Linked DNA regions of Drosophila melanogaster. The gene in region 3 interacts genetically with the main gene of each other region. Each region holds a gene or a part of one and is shown on either strand. Other genes may lie near its edges.

Region 1 (4,614 bases), on a different chromosome or scaffold from region 3:
ATAGGGAACCCATCTATCCGCGATCCACACTCGAACCACAACCATATAGCGACCTCAATTGTCGGCTGGAGTTCAAACATTTAACTAAGACATACATACATGTATTAAGTAATATTGCTCAATACTCGTTGTCCTGTTATCAGCACCCAATTTAATAGTTTAATGCCCTCATTGTCATCTAAATCCCCTCTTTCCGCAAGTACTTAACTGTAGAACGCGGAAAAGGTTTCATTTATTGGGAACTCTATTTGTATCTTAAGGATTGCTTTTTAGGTAAACGTATCTATATTCGTATTTTAATCTTTTTTTGGTACTCAATCCACAACTGTTTTCAAATTGAAGAGAGCACTTAGACTAAGCACAGTCATGACTGAATTATTTAAAAACGATTGCCTAATTGCCGTACCTGCTGTTATCAGAATTTCCCTGCAGTGCAAGTAGCGATAAGAAGCGAAACATCAAACAAGGTGTAAATCGAGGTGTGAGGCAGACATTTGTATCTCTGGGCATGACCAAAAACGATTAAAAAACTTATAGAATCGAGCAAAGAGCGTCTAAGAATTTCCGGCTCTGCAGATTTAGCATCGAATGGTAGTGATAGTGGACTCAGTGACGAACGATTGGCACGTATCTAAGTGCATATATATGGTAACCATATGTATGTATATGTACTGCATGTATATATGTCTATAAGTAAGAGAGTGCGTTTTTAGTGAGTGATCCAAAAGTTCATCGAGAGTCATTAGTGAAAGTTCGTGTGTGGCAGCCACGTACAATTACGGTTTATGCCATCTACTCTACACTACATACAGACACTCGGCCATATATTATCTATAAACATATGTACATATAAAAGTATGTATGGCGTTCATACCAATTGTTTAATACAACCACTTTTTGTTCACTTTGACTTTGACACTTGACATCATGTTGTTGTCATCTTTGAGCAATTTGTGGCATAAAAACATTTCCTATCTGAAAAATTCATATTCGTCTTATTTTACAAAAAATGCAATAATAATCCTATAAGGTTTCACTTTACTTATACGTTAATTGGAGCACTTTAGTTAAACCCATATTGTTTTATTGGTCACTTGAATTATAGCTCTCAAGATAATATGGCTAATAATAAATCCGTAGTAAAGTCTATGGAATGCGAACGATTCTTAAATTTAAGAGCAAATGCACTTTTTCAATTCATTTGAACATTTATAATATTACTTATTTTACAAAAATATTGATTATATGTTGCCTTTAGACCTTTTCAAATTTAAATTATAAAGTGTTTGTTATTAATGTGAACTTGTAAATGATTTAAATTTAAAAAACACCGTTAGTTGTAGAATTTTTTTTTAACTTTTTCCATAATTACTAGCATTGCTAACAAAATTCTTTTTCGCAAAACTTCGTTTGTTGTTCACACAATTTGCTTCTGGTTTAACAACTGAAATCTTCTACAAAATTTAACGACTCACCAGCGACAACAACAAAAATAAAAAATGGGCAAAGTATTATGTTCATTTTTTTTTTATTATGTATTTAGAGAAGACCTTAAAAAAGTTTCACCAAACAAACAGAAAGTCGCTGCGTGCGCGAAAGCCCCCAGCAACAACAAAAACAAAAACAGCCCAACAACCCAAATGGAAACGCAAAAAAAAGGTTGAGATGGGAGAGAAGAAACAAAAACCGGCTAATGAAAAGCGTTTATTTGAAAAAGGGTTTTCCAATTGTCCACACACGAAATGTCCCGTTGTGCAACAGCAAAAACAACAAACCGGACAAACAAGTGTGCCTGCGTTTTTGTTGTTATTGTCAATTTCAGAACTCTTGACCGCTGAACTGCAAGAAAAAGCAGACGCTTCATGATCGATTTGTATTTATGCAAATTTATGTAAATGGGATATACAAATATTTAACTTGAATGTTTGAAATTTATAAACAATTAATGATAGTACACTCTGATTAGATTAGATTTACACAGTAAAAGTATTTCATATATGTATATTTTTCATAATCATAATGATAGATTATAAAAAAAAACGTTTTCAACTGATTAATAAAACACACTTAGTCACTGTTTTAAGGTTTACGCACGTAATTCCATAAAAGACTATTCAAATCATTTTAAATTGACATCGTTTATTTCTCAGTGTGGAAGCCTGGTTCAAGCTCAAGGAGAATGAGAGGGAGAGAGCGCACTGTCGAGAGCGGGTGGGAAAGGTACGTGGCAGAGGGGGAGACGGTAGCAGCACCCTTGAATGTGTTGCACTGTGAGCCGCTCTTTACGCATCTCTCCCTCTCGCTCGCTCTGCAGCTCCTCGGCAGGTGTACCTGTCCGTGTGTGCGTGCGAGAGAGCGGGGCTGCGCTTGTAGTGTGCATGTTAGTACCGTTCTAGCCAACGAAACCTGAAGCGTAGCTATTTAATTTGGTCACTCGCCTAAAGCAATAAAAATGCAATGCAGCCACGTCTCCGTCTGGAAATGCAATAAAATCGATGATGTTACACTGAACCGATGCTGTGACCCTTGTCATTTTCCCCACTGGCTTTTCTAGCCACAAACAGACACACATTTACACAGACCGCTTGGCAGGGTTAATGCACTCTTTTCTTTTAGTTTCGTTTCATTTCTTTTCTTTTTTCCAATCACTCTCTACCTTAATTGCCGCCTCAGAATTTTGCACTCTCCGCTTTTCGGTCACCGAATTCGAATTCTAATTGGAATCGCTCTCGCCACGACCGTTTAATTAACACTTTTCCAGACCCGTCGAAAGCGGGATGTTCTTTTTCAAAAACAGGTTACATAAATAGGTCACGCACCAGCAGTCGCAGGAATAGAGCAGCGCGCCGAAAGTCCGCTTTTCCAGCACAGTTAAGCCGAGCAACAGGTGGATTACAGACCACTGATCATTTTGGGGCTGTGCGATTTGTTTATTGTTTTTCTTTTCGCCGAGAAGACAAGACTTGAAGCGAAAAATAACAACCGATAAACTGATCAATAAGAGTGACCAGGTGGTGGGGCCAGTTGCGAATGGCCTAAAAAATGCGCGGATTACTAATCGTGGTATGCTAACGAGTTAACATTACAGTTCATTTGAAAACCGCTTATATGGTCACATTGCCGCGTAAGCAGTCCGATCGATAGACTTCCGATAGCATCGATAAAAATAAGCATTACTTACCCAAATTTATCGACCTGCCTAATTTCGGCGCGCATTTCAAAATATCTGTCATAAGCTATTGCATTTTTCAAGAAATATCTTTTTTCTATGTCAATATATTAAACATGTCGTCATATTAGCTCATTGAAGCGGTTTGTTGATTACCTAATTATTTATACGAACTGCGATAAGTAGTAATTAAAATCTAATTATGCCCCATCAGTAATTATATTTTTGGAAACCAGTACTCCACCATCGCGTAGAGTGGTCATTACATCCAGACTATTTGCCCTGATGAAGTACCTCTTGTGGATCAGCTTACTTTTCATTGGAGAATCCCATGGATACGTGCGCCTCACGAACCTCAAGTGCGAAAGCTATGACAAATCATTCGTCGTCTTTCCCGAATGCCGACTAAAAGTGCTTGGCAGGGGAATTATCGGAGCCAACATACACGTTAAGCTTCTGAAACTGCCAATAAATAGGATGGTCGTGAGATTCATCACTTACCGGAAGCTAAACGGATACCATCCGTTTCTATTTAATGTTTCCGAGGAACACTGTCGCGTCCTAAGGTATCCAAATCGTCTCAGAGTCTTCTACTATTTCTACACCGCCTTTATGCCCTTTTCCAATATTAATCATACATGTCCCTATAATGTAAGTATTTAGTTTCGCCAATATGACAATCATATTAAATCATATTAAAATATATATTTTAAGGATGATATTTACATAAGGAACTGCACCTTGGATGATCGTATGTTTGCCAAGGTCCCATTACCAAAGGGTAGCTATAAGTTAACCCTCGAAATGGATGATGGTGTCGTGAACTGGATTTCCATCATAAACATCCACTTTGAAATTGACGTTGACTAAGATGAACAAAACATTAGAACACCTAATGGATCTAACACAACGAACACATATTTATTTTGCGTTAATGTTTTAATTATTCCTATGCCCGCTATATGATATAGTTGTCCGATCTGGCCCGTTCCGACTTCTATACTTAATGCAATACAAAGTTCGTTAATGCAAATTGCTTTAAAACTGACTAATTACATCGGTTGTTAATACTCTTCGAGAATACATACACAATATGGCGTCTTATTTACTTCTCTGCTAGATCATTCTGAGTTATATTTATAATGTATTCATATTTACTTTGCTCAATGCTCAATTTATCGCCCCGCTGTGTTATCGGCGAGTTATCAGCAGCGTGGTCGTTATCACCGGCGTTTTTAAAAAACTGATTGCGGCAACAAGACGTCTCCGTTTTATCAATAGTTAATGTTTATTGAAATTTCTTTTCTCTCGTTTAAGGTTTAGGTGGTCAGAGTAAACGCCTCCGCAGTTGGGCAGCAGATACAAAATGTTTTCTCGCGTGTCGTGTCTTTACAATGTTTCATTTAAGAATATGAAGGATGTGTGGTGTGTGCTCATTTGGGATT
Region 2 (4,565 bases), on a different chromosome or scaffold from region 3:
CTGACTGTTTTTTTTTTCGGCTGTATCTACGGACCACTGCTGCCGTATAAAACTGAACCGTACGTGTGTATATGCATCAATTAAGCTTTTATTCTAACATAACAATTTTGAATGTGGCCGAAACCAGTTTTGAGTGCGCGACCAAGAGGGCCGATGCCTACGCAGAAGTATCTCATGGATAGCCGTGTGAGTAGTGGCCAAGAGAGGCCACCATAAACCCACAAAAGATACCGAAAAATGTGGACCATCAACGTCATCAATGAATCTCTGGTGTGTGCACACGAATTCGTCCAACTCCATGCCATGCAAATCTCATTTGGCCATTGGCCCTCTGATTCTGTAATAAATTCCACAATAGACTGTTGATATTTTGATGGACTCAAGCCGGTCACAAATCAGCCACATTAACTGGCACGAGACAGCATTCAAATGTTAATTAATCAAGAGTCATAACGAGTTTTCCTATGCCGGCATGGATATCGAATGGATTGACTGAGGTTAGTTCGCCGTGCGAGTTGGCTATTCGCAGTGAATGTGGCATCAGAAGCCGGAAAAAATCACCTTTTTCGTTGGCTCCTTGGCCAACTGAAGTCTTAACTGATCACTTCGAACTCAAAAAAACAAAAAACATAACCAATGAAAAACAGGTTGCGGCTACCGAAGAAGAAGAGGATGCGTTCTGGTCAGGATGATGGCCCGTAGCGGATCTGCCTGCCGGTGGTGGATTGCTCCTAACCTGGCCGAGACAGCTGCAAAACCGCGAAGAGAGCCAGGCGCTAACAAACTCATTTTAAGCACGGTAAAATATTTTATTTACCTACTTTTTCTTAAATTTTATTCAAGTAATTCCTCTACTACAACTTAATCTTTATATCCGCAATTATTTGATTTCAAATATAAATGGATTAAACTCATTCTACACATATTTCAAGAAAACAGCCTATTGTAAAAATTAAAGGATAACACCTTAAGCCTTTAACTCTTAATATTAATCGTCTTATAAAATATAATAGAACGACATTTGATGTTTTTGTGTGTAACTAAACTTGGATCACATAATTAACCTAAGTAAATAACTTTTTTTTCTCTGCACCAGCCGCAAGAAGAATGGGAAAAGGTTGGTAACACGCCGAGAAAGAGAGACAGAGAGAGCTAGAGAGAGGCAGGGAGAAAGGGGTCGAACGAGGAGCAGTAGCAGAAAACCAGTCTTACAACAATTTTTCAGCTACTTGCCACTGGCAGGCTCAAAATGGACTTGACTTGACTCTTCCAATTGCACCAAACACACCGCATTCCAACTAGAAAATCATAAAACATAAATGTGCGAGAGTATCTGGCCCCCATCGAAATATAACAAAGGCCCTGTTAATGGCCTCGAAAATAAAATCTATCTTAATAAATTGGCAATCCGACAAAACTGAGTCGAGTGAATAATGTATCCAGCAGATAAGTTTGTCCCGGCCTGCTGAAATATTTATGCGCCAGACAAAGGGCGCAGAAACAAAGATACAAACGCAATGGCAAAGGCAAAATCCCATGGACAAGTGTGAAATGCAGGGAAAACAAAGCACTTGCAACGCTCAGATACAGATACATTTGTATCTCGTGCAGGCATTTGATTCCACGATTCCCCGATTCCGATTTCGGTTATGTTTTGACCCAACTCTTCTCCTTTCTCTCCTCGCGCTCTCCGCGTTTTTGACCCACGTTTTAATGTGACTTTTATTGTGCTTCCTCCTTTTGTTGTCTCATTTGGTATTCAGTTTAATGTTTGTTTAGAGCTTCGCGTTTGTATCTTTTTGCGATGGCTCTGAACTTTAACAGTTGCACTGTGTGAGCGTCGGACTTCGACTTCGACTTCGGCCATCGGCCAACTGTTTGGGCCAACTGCTAATTGGAGATGGCCAAGAAAGAGGCCTTAGGTTTAAAGGCCCAATTGGAGCTCTATTTTATTGCCGAAGCCCTAGAGCTGAAAGCCGTTAATTAAGAACGTCTTAAATCGAAACATTTCAGAGGTAGCCAGAACCACTAAGCGTCTTTCCATATCATATAACAAATAAAGGTTCTAGCAATATTTCATACAGGCCCCCATTTATATGCAGATACAAAATACTTTTCTAGAGCTTATAACCCTTTGAAAATATGAATTACGCGATTCCGCTATGGCGTAAGCCCTTAAATACGAAGTTTATCTAAGAGATTTAAGGCCACGCCTGCGGAACATATAGTGTCCTGTTGGAACGACACCTGTCATACGTCATGAATCAGGTGTCATGCGTCGCACAATTCCCATTAGAATGCAGCCGCATCCCGCCCACAAGGACATATGTATATGCGCGAGCACATGCACATATCCTTGATATATCCTGGCTGGAACGTGTGAACTTACAGGCTTTTGTTTGCTCTGCCGCTGAATTTCCACGCGTGGGTGGCCAATAATCCGCTTTAGCTGCACGGCTGCATTGTTAAATATTTATAATATTGCATTTAAAATCGCGCATCCGTGTTGTTTCCTCTGCGTGAATCTTGTGTTTGTATTATTAACACAATATATTATAATTAGCACTCGCCAGTTTGTGTGACTGGCCTCACTCTAGAGCACTGTTTAAACTGATTTAACTATTTTGATTCCGGGAAATTCGAATAATTCGAATGCTAAACCGACTATAACCCCGACCGTTAAGCTGGGCGGCTAAAAAAAGGGGGTGGTTGTTGGAAAAGCCAACGCACTTTTCTGAAAACAGCAGGCGAAGAAAAGACCGCGCGCTAAAATTCACTGAGAGCGAGGATTGTTGTATGTTGTGTTGGCGAAAAACCGGTAATTTCGACCGTCGAAGTTGTTACTTTGGGTTTGCGTTTACCTCTGCCTTTTGGCTTTGCACTTGCCTTTGCATTTGTCTTTGCTTTTGACTTTGCAGAGACGCGCACGCGTAGCCCCGAGTGAAAAATAATACCGTTCTTGCTGGCCAAACGCTCAAAACGCGTCCAATCGGTCCGGAGTCGCAGTGGTAACTGGCAAAACCAGAAACAGAAACTGAGTTTCTTGCTAAAACTCAGTTGGAAGCCGAAGCGAGTTCGTGTATCCGATGGATACTTTCGTCGGTGGTGGATTTTCTGCGGGGGGTGACTGCGTGTTGCAGCAACATTGCCGCGACTGTTGCAACATGTTGCGGCAGCAGAGAGAGGTGCCACCAAATTTCGGTTTGCATCCCCGAGCATAAAAACGTGCAATTTGATCCAGGATTCTTCAACCTGTAGGATATTCAATCTTTGGAAACTTCGAAAGTCTTTTTCTTATCAGTAAATTAGTTTTGCAGCACGCTTTGCATGCTCAAAGATTTAAATCGACTCAATTTATTAAATGTGATATTTATATAATTTTACTACTATTTATTAAATAAATGTTAAATAAATGTGTTATCTGTGCATCGGGCCAACACCTGTAATCGGAATTAGTTTGCGAATCTAAAGATGGTGGAACATTATCCCTTACGGGTAAAACTTGAACATAAAATTGCTAACTTATAAATTTACATGTGGTGTATTCATTTGTTAATATTAATAAATAATATTCCATATAGCCTAGTTTTTGTGTCCCACCAATAATAATTCATTTTCTGTTGAACGCCTTGGTTTGAAAACTAAATAAACAAACAAACATATTATTTGGCATAATTAAGCGATAGTCTAAATCAACGCAATTTATGTTCAGAAACATAATATGCTAAAAGTTCACTGTCAAAACCAAAAATGTAGTACACCATTAAAACCGACCAAATGACCGTTTTCCATGTTATGATGAGGTTCAAGTGTCAAGAGCTGTTAAGTGAATAGTTTCAATTACGAAGCCATTAGGGATGAATCATTATTCCAATTGGGATCTATACATAGGTATGCCAGAAATTCGCATGTTCCTGCTTGCCATTCGATTAGATTTCAGTTTATCGAATTATGCAAAATATTTAATGCAATTTTGGTTGGCAGAATTCGGCAGCAGTGATAAACATATGCTGGGACCCAGAAACCGAACAAGCTTTTGGCCCACAAGGACAACAGTCGTGGGTAATGGCTACGCTGGTAGATGTATGTATGTGTCGGCGGAATTTATAGCTTACAGGAAGGTGTTGGCCAAGACATCGTCGTTTGGCCAACAACTCGCATTTGGCCAGCTGACGTGGTCCGAATACTTCCGAATAGCAACGAATCGAAGGGATTTTGGGAGGAATCGAAGGAATAGGAGAATAGGAGACCGAAATGGGGGTTTCTTGCATGTAATTGACATTGGCCCCTTGCGTTTGATTAATTGCATTTGGTTGAGGCTCTTCCAAGCCATTGACTCGGAATGCTCTGAATTCCCCCATTGATCTGTATCCGTGTCTATGTAACCTTGTGGCCATGTGTAGCTAGCTGCATCCGTAATCTGTAACCGTTTCAATTTGTATCTGTGTGCTTTTTGCGGGGCAATAAATTCGACATGTTCGACATGCTTTCCAATTACTGAGCGCTGGCATTAAACAAATGCAGCACACTTGACACACGTCGAAAGCCGGCAGCCCTTTTCGGAG
Region 3 (7,945 bases):
GTTGAATGCTTTATTTGTTGCTCCGCATAGGTATAGTAGTTGCTCATATTGTTTCTTTGTTGCAAATAGTACGCATTTTGGGGATTCTGAGGGTCTGAAACATTGAGTGCAGTTTTACAATTTCTTAATTGATTTTCTTTCATTTTGAAGTTTCTTTTTGGTTGTTTTTTTTTTTTGGCTTTTTCTTTGTTTTTTTTTTACTGTGTGTTTTGTCACGGGTTTCGTATTCTTATAATTTTGGTTAATTTTAGCTTTCCTCTTTGGCTGCAGTTTTTCCAACTGTGAGTGGTTGTGTGTGTGTGTGTGTCTGAACGTGGGTGCATCCTCCGTCTGCCGGCTGTTTACATATATAGATATCACGAGAGTTCCTGCGAGAACTGCGTCTCCAGGGTGGGTCTAGTTCTAGTGGGGTTCCTGCTGGGATTGCGTATCGGTGGTCCTGGGCTGCCATAGCCCGCCGCATACAGCTGCGGGCACGAGTCTTTTATGAGTTCCTGCGTCTCGCGCAACTGCCGCTGCACCTGCGGCGCCAGTCTCTGCACGCTGATGGCCGGCGGGAACTTGTATTCCGCCGCTGGAGCGGCCTGCAAATGGTCAAGTAAATATATTAGTCATTAAGCTAAAAGTCAAGATAATAGGCATTAAGAATTAGTTGCTCATGAGCGCAAATTCTGCAGACAGTAGAATTTTTTAAGAATTCTTCAGCAGACTCAAGTTGCCCTCTAAGATCCAGTACATATAGGATCACTCACCTGTACGCCGTGCATCATCTCGCCGTAGTAGGCGCCCGGCGGAGGAGGCGGTGGCTGTTGCTGCTGGATTTGGCTGTGTGGAGCGGTTGGCGGTTCGTAAGTTTCGGGGGCGTTGCATTTGATGCTGAAATGCACATCACTGTATTTAAATGGATATAATATATATATATATGATGACAGATAGCTGAACCTACCCAGTTGCACAGAGGAGAGTGGTTGCAGCGGGTCCACCATAGATCAGGCGCTTTGGACTCACGCTCTGGGGCTTTGATCCGGCGGGAAGGGTCAGCAGGTATTGCTGTTGCTGCTGCTGGTAAAGTTGCTGCTGCTGCTGCTGATTGAGTTGCAGCTGCTGTTGCTGCTGCAGCTGTAGCTGTTGTTGCTGCTGTTGATGCTGCTGCTGCAACTGGACGAGCTGTGCCGCTGCTGCTGCCGTGGACGTGTTGACAACATTAGGATCCAACTGGGGCAGCAGTATTAGTTGCTGCTGCTGCTGCTGGTAGAGCACTGCCGCCTGTTGCTGCTGCTGTTGTTGCTGCTGCTGCACCACTTGCCGTCCCGTCAACACATGCTGAGGTAGATACTCCGTCGTGGGCAGCGCGACTATCGTCGATGAGGAGGAGGAGGAGGTGGAGGCGGTGACCGCCGAGGCGCTAGAAGGCTGAATCAGCAGGCCGGCGCCACGCGGTGGCTGCTTCAATGGCACCTGCACCTGGCGGATGGGCGTCGTCTGCAGCGAGCGGCTGGCCGAGGAGCAGATGGAGGCCGTAATGCTGGCGGACTCCCAATGTTGACGCAGGGCGTTTAGTCGGGCCTCCTCCAATGCGATCTCCGTCTCGCTGGCCGAATCGTAGTCGGGACCCTAAAACAAGCGTGTTTGTGTTTAGCCAGATTTGGTCACAGACAAGAAGTAAAAGTTTAGCAAAACACCCAGAATATAAAGATCAAATTAAAATACCTTTAAAATGGAAATTTATAAAAGATTTTGTGTCTAACATGTTTAATAAAATAATCAAATTAATCCCCATGGCATATATGTACATTTTCTTGCTGCGCATAAGTTGTTCCAATCTCTTTGAAGTCAAATTTTCAGGTAACAAGCGAATTTTAATGGCTCCTCACATGTTGTTCGAAAAGAAAACAAATAGGGGGCCATAAAACTAATTGTTTTGCTCTTTCGATTTGGGATAGCCAAATACTTAGTGCACTTACATATATATTGATTTTTGGCCATTTGTTTATTATCACGGAACAGCCAATTACACATCAATGTTATGACTAGTTAGCTGATCATTATTTACATTGGTTGAGTTTATATTGCAAAGCTTTTAAAATATATATGTATGTTAAAATTAATAAATTCTATTAAATTACGTATTTGGGGTCAATGAATTTATAGAATTTCGTACTTTCAACTTTTTGTGTTTATAGAAACAACAATTGTTCTCTGTGCTTTATAGCGAGTGATTTAAGTTTTTATACTATTGGGAACCCCCTTGATTTAAATTTCCCATCTGGTATGTGGGAATGTATCACTAAGTGGACTCTCACCTCATCAATCTTCTTGTCCAGCATGCGGAAGAAGTTCTGCTGGCTAGATGATATTTCCCTGGAAAAGTGAGGTGTTCATTTTCGGGTTATGCGGTCGATGGGCTAACTTACTGGCTTTGCAGCAGCGATAGGTTCTTGGCGCGCAGCAGTGAGACGGCCACGTCCTCGTCGCTTTCCTGGATGTCCTTATTGCTTAGCTCCTCGCTCTCGTCGTGCTTCTCGCGGTCGCGCTGCTGTGCCTTCTCAGCATCCTCGATATGGCCTTCGTCCTCGTCCGTTTCGGCATCTGAGTCGGCTGCCAAACAAATGGATAATGCCAAAGAAGAGTTTCGAGCATTAGTCAAGATGAGTGGGCAATTTCGCGAGTGCCATGGAGTGGCAAAAGTTTTGCAATAAGCCAAGTGTGGCAAACTTCTCTGCGAAACGGGGGGCAGTCGCAGTCGAGAAAAATGCTTAGAAAACACTTGTAGAAATTATGCTAGGTCCTGGGCCACTATGGATACTCAAAAAAACACTATCTGCCTTTCAAATACTTAATTATTTATAAAAATAAATAAAGAAATCAAAGTTTTTAGCATCCTTTTTGTACCTGCACGTTTCTGTTTTGCTAATCCATCTTTCGGCTTAGCCTGCGTATACTTAATATTTCCTCGGGCCTTTCTTTGAAGTGGCCTTGCCAGCCATAAATTTAATTAAAAGCCGTTATGCATTTTAATGCAAATTCGGTAAAGCGAGAGCCGCGAGTATTATGAATAATTAATCTAGGAACGAGACTAAAGCTTAGGCGCCTCCGAAATATTTGGGTCGTTTATGGCACAATGGCGCCTTTGTGTATGCTATACTTTTTTAGCTTTAACCCTTTTGCCCACAGAGACACACACACACACAGCTATATACAAACTGGGGGGGGGGGGCTGGCCACGCCCCTTGAAGCGGCGCCCACTGCAACAACAAGTTGCCTTTTTAGCAGTTAATTATACACACACAAAATGAAATAAAAAAGGCAAGAAACACGCACACATAGACACAGACAGCAACAAACGCGCGGGGTTGGGCATAGTCAAAAGTTTGCCATGTAGGCTAGGTTTTTACATTCTTATAAACTTAAATTGGCTAGTGTGCGTGTGTGTGTGTTTATATATAGACAATGCTGTGGGCTTTAAAATGTAGGCCTTTATTATTACTTTGGTGAATGTATGGCCTTAAAACTGGGCTCCTCCTTTCAACTTCCCCTTCTTTTTTCACTGCTGGTGACATATTAATCAATGATGTCCTCATTGTGTGGAAACAGGTGGCTCACACACACACACATGCACGGAAACACGGACGCACACATGCACACACAGCTGGAGGCAAATTGATGTCGTCATGCGTGTAAGCTTTTGTTGTGCGAGGCAATACGTTTTCCTCGCCGTTTCCCCAATTTCCCTTGCTCTACACAGAGGAAAATGCCTAAACGATTTGATAGATCATTCCAAATGATCGGGCATACACAAAGTTGGCAAAACAATATCAATTCTAGCACGCAAAATGAGAATAACATAAAATCTATAAGTAAAATGAACTGAGAAATTTTTGAAGATCAATTTATCAGTATTGCTGATTTTTTATTATATATATGCACATAGGTGGCTACTAAAAATATTTGAACTGTGTATTTTGGGCTTATGAAAACCCTTAGATAACCTATTGATTTGCTTCATCTTTAACGCATTTACGTCTGGTGCACCGTGTGTGGAACTTATAAAGGCAGGTGCCCAAAGGATATACTCTCATTTCGCCTACTCACCATGTCCTCCTTTCTTGCCGTTCGCTTTACTCTTCGATTTTCTGGGATACAAATGTATCTTGCTCTGTCCACAGCCCATCTTTTGAATGTGCCGCTGCCTCTAGAAATCCAGAATCGCTGCTGCTGCCTCTGCTGCTGCTCTTGTTGTTTTTGTTTTCAATTTGTGTTGCTTTTTATTTATCTGTTTTTGTTGTTGTATTATTAATTTGTTGCTCGACACGTTGCTCTCCCGCTCGGTCTGCCGCTCCTCACTCTTCGCGTCTCCGTCACCTCACCGTCTTTTATTTACGTTTGTCGTCTATTCTTTCTTCTGTTTTATTCAATTTTCACTAATTTAACTATGTGTGTAAATTAAATTTATTTGATTTGGTGTTGTTGTTGCTGCCGCTGCCGCCGTTGTCAATTTCGAAAGATTGAGGTAGCAGCAACAAATGCTCCTCGGGGGGGAAATACATTTGTGCGTGAGTTTTTCTCAGGGAAAATGCCACCCAAGCCACCCACTCAACCACTCGCCCACCGATTTCCAGTTCAAACCAAATACAGGACAACTAGGCTAATTCAAGTGAAGTTAAGTTAGTGGAAAACTTATAAATTGATACCAAGTCTAGAATGAACCATTAGTGCAAATTTCTTTAGTAATACTTTTGGTGCTCGTTTGGTATTGAATCAAATATTAACGAACGAATTTGATTTAGTAATATCATTATTAATATGGCACAAACTAAACTTTTAGCTCGAAATTTATGAATATTTCAAGTTTCCACTGCTCGATGCTTCACTGTAGTGGCATTTTCCTCATTTATTTGTCTTCTGTATTTTGGGGACCGTAGCGGAAATTAAGTGGGTCCCTGGCTGGCACTCATCCACTTGTTTCAGCCGTGCTATAAATTCAATTTGCAGCGTCAATTTGTAAACAGGACAAACCCATAAAAGGGTTTTTCTGACCAGGGCTGCAGCAGCACTACGCAAATCGCTCTCCTTGAGAGCCTTTTGTATGTTGTTGATGTTTTCGATGCCTTCGAAGGTGGCTCCACGGCGTTGTGCTAAACGCGCGCGTGGTGCTCTTGTTGTTGTTTATGTTGTCGTTGGTAATTTAAACAAATAATAACGATAATAAGCACAACAAATAGTGTGCAGCAAAAACACTTGAATTATATTCAATTATTCGCAGAGAGAGAGAGAAAGAGAGAGTGAGTGAGAGCACTCGGCCACTCGCTTTTGCTCACTGGATATTATAATAGACACCGACACGCGAGACACACCGCACACCACCACACGCACACATGCGCCCGTTTTGGGGGAAGACGGACACAGACAGGCGCGCGCCAAAAAAGAGAGAGAGAGAGCGCTCCTCGGAGAGAGAGAAATTGATTTTTCTATTTATAAAAAAAAATCAAAATATATCCGCTTGGTTCACATCTTCCTTTTTTTTTTTGATTATTTTATTTTTGTTGCCGCCAACTGGCAGCGAAACATAATTTATGTTTTATTTATGATTGCCGGATTTTCATTTAATTTCCATTCCCATGGTGATTTTCGGCTGGCCGCCGTTTTATTTCGCCCCAAAGAAACTTGTTTGATTTATCTCACTTGACCACTTGGGCGCATTTGGCCATTCCATTCCATTCAGTTAAATAAAAACACAGTCGCAAATACACTATCATTTACCGTTTAACGAACACGCCCATTTATTTACACCGTTTTGTTAATAACTAAGAGGAACTGTCGCCCATTTTTTCGGTTTTTTTTTTCAATTTATTTACACTGGCTTTTTCCTGCGGAAAACTTTGCCGAAAAGTATCTGCGACGCGTTGCGAGTGTGCGGAATTCGTATGAAATTTATGCTGCATGACACTCCTCTTTGTGTCACAAAAAGCGAGAACCGCTCTCAGCGGCATGCCAGCACACACACAACGATGGAGATGAGTGCCCACTGCAATGGGGGTGGGTTTTCAGGCGAAGCTTTCGCACAGGGGTTCAATGCTACCGTGGAGCTGGAGCTTTCGGCAAACGGTTCTGGTACGGGATGTGACCATTTGCGGAGGCTGATCGCAGGTCGGCGCCGTCGGCATGGGGTAGGCGTAGGCGGTGCCAGAAAATGTTAAGGCGTGGTCAGGATCAGCGACGGACACAGAAAAGGGTTGCACTTTCCTCAGACCCAAGGCCCTGTTTCTTTAACGCAACACTGCATCGAAGCTCTAAATCGAGGAACCAAAACTAGTAGCACTCACGATTTCGATGTATATAGGATTCGTTGTGAGCAGGTCCTTCGTGCAGGCCACGAGGCCATTTTGGCACTTTGATTTGGCGTTGGTGTACCGATATGCATTCTTTTTCGTACCATCGATATCGGTATCGATATCGGAAAATACACGCATAGAAGAAGTAAATAAACTTTTCTGGTAGAGCACGCTTTAAGCTCCGTGCCAGGAACTTTTCGAAATTCTTGGCCACGCGACAACTGTTCCAGTAATGCCAAAAAGCTCCAGCAGAGGTCTTGAAGTTTCCAAATGGTGTTTTACACTTACCCCTATTTTAATTTAATTTTTTATGAACAGACTGTAATTGTTCTTAAAACTATTTTGTTTTACTTATTATTTTATATAGACCACGGACATCTCGGACACCACGGACCATACGGATATCATGATAAACCACGGACAATACGGAAACCACGTACTCCGGCATATTCAATATTTCAATACTTTCCTAATATTTCGCAAAAATATTTTCGCACAAAAAAAAAAATCGCGCCCAGTCATGTTAGGCCTCATTAATTTCAACAGCAATGATTTTCTGACCATCGCTCCGCTCCACTTCCGATGGACAGAAATCGCAGGACAAATAAACTACCCCCTGCGATTCGCCCTTCTGCATAATATTAGATGGAACATGTAGATGGCATTATTTATTGCATAATAATGAAGTGAGAAACGTTACAAATCAAAACACTCGACAGCATCTATATAAACTTTCGTCCGTTTCCATTCACTCGATTTTTTTTTATCATTATAATATATTTTTGGGGCAGAATCGCTGGCATTTTTTCCGTGCATTTGTCAGCCGCAACGGAATTGAAACGTTTGCGCTTTTATTGCCACGGACGTGTGTCGTCGTCAGGGGGCTGGAAATGCGACTATATCGCTCTCAAGGGGTGGACAGTTAGGACATCTAGGACATCTACGGACACTACGGACTGGTGGGAAAAATATGAAATGTATATGTCCATGCCAAACAGGAAGTAATATACAACAAATGCGAAATGATATCTTCCCATTGATCTATGGATTGAGCAAAAGCAGGGTGGCATTTTAAGTCTTATATTAATGGTGTTTGGTGGGATTACAGATATCGCTTTCGCTAAACAATTGAAACAAGATGAGCAGAGAAATTTCAACAAAAAAGCTGAACAAAATTTGGATTGTTTGAATCAATTTCTTATATATCATTTTAAGTCAAATTCAACTTTATCTAATGGTAAGAAAGAAAATATAAAAATATTATTTTCTACGCATTTATTATTTAAGTTATTATTGTTAAGTATGTCATTTAGTAATTTCTTCGATAAAATAGTAGAAAAGAAAATAATACAAAAGTCGACTCCATATTAAATGTTTTGTAATATTTTTCCAAGCCATCCTTGAACTTGTTACTCCCCAAAATCATTCCCTAATTATCAGATTCCCTATGCAAGGATTGTCATGTTGGTTAACTGCCGATAATGGCGACATATGTTTCTGGCATTTCTCACATTGTTTGGCATTTCTCCCGTTGTCTGCAACAGTTTGAACCTGTTGGTGTGTCCTGCCAGCATTTAGGCAAATTTTCGCACTCCTTTCAATCTGCGACCTCG

Evidence for each region. Genes that interact genetically often act in the same process or in processes that back each other up.
Region 1: of tow (region 3) and ck, changing one suppresses a phenotype caused by changing the other (phenotypic suppression), as found in Drosophila melanogaster (one study listed by BioGRID).
Region 2: of tow (region 3) and stan, changing one enhances a phenotype caused by changing the other (phenotypic enhancement), as found in Drosophila melanogaster (one study listed by BioGRID).

The regions. Positions count from the first base shown.
Region 1 is NT_033779.5:15,054,849-15,059,462, forward strand, and holds the start of ck (crinkled), read right to left. Parts: upstream 3,015-4,614; 5' UTR 2,820-3,014; exon of another isoform or gene 2,657-2,819; intron 1-2,656. Other genes in the region: CG33679 (uncharacterized protein), read left to right, coding at 3,455-3,820, 3,884-4,039. UniProt on the Drosophila melanogaster protein: Myosins are actin-based motor molecules with ATPase activity. Unconventional myosins serve in intracellular movements: can function in cells as a single-molecule cargo transporter.
Region 2 is NT_033778.4:10,671,794-10,676,358, reverse strand, and holds the start of stan (starry night), read right to left. Parts: upstream 3,015-4,565; 5' UTR 2,390-3,014; intron 1-2,389. UniProt on the Drosophila melanogaster protein: Involved in the fz signaling pathway that controls wing tissue polarity. Also mediates homophilic cell adhesion. May play a role in initiating prehair morphogenesis. May play a critical role in tissue polarity and in formation of normal dendrite fields.
Region 3 is NT_037436.4:6,940,917-6,948,861, reverse strand, and holds the start of tow (target of wingless), read right to left. Parts: upstream 6,007-7,945; 5' UTR 5,856-6,006; exon of another isoform or gene 5,761-5,855; intron 4,431-5,760; 5' UTR 4,172-4,430; coding exon 4,093-4,171; intron 2,599-4,092; coding exon 2,415-2,598; intron 2,362-2,414; coding exon 2,304-2,361; intron 1,615-2,303; coding exon 947-1,614; intron 892-946; coding exon 753-891; intron 585-752; coding exon 357-584; 3' UTR 1-356.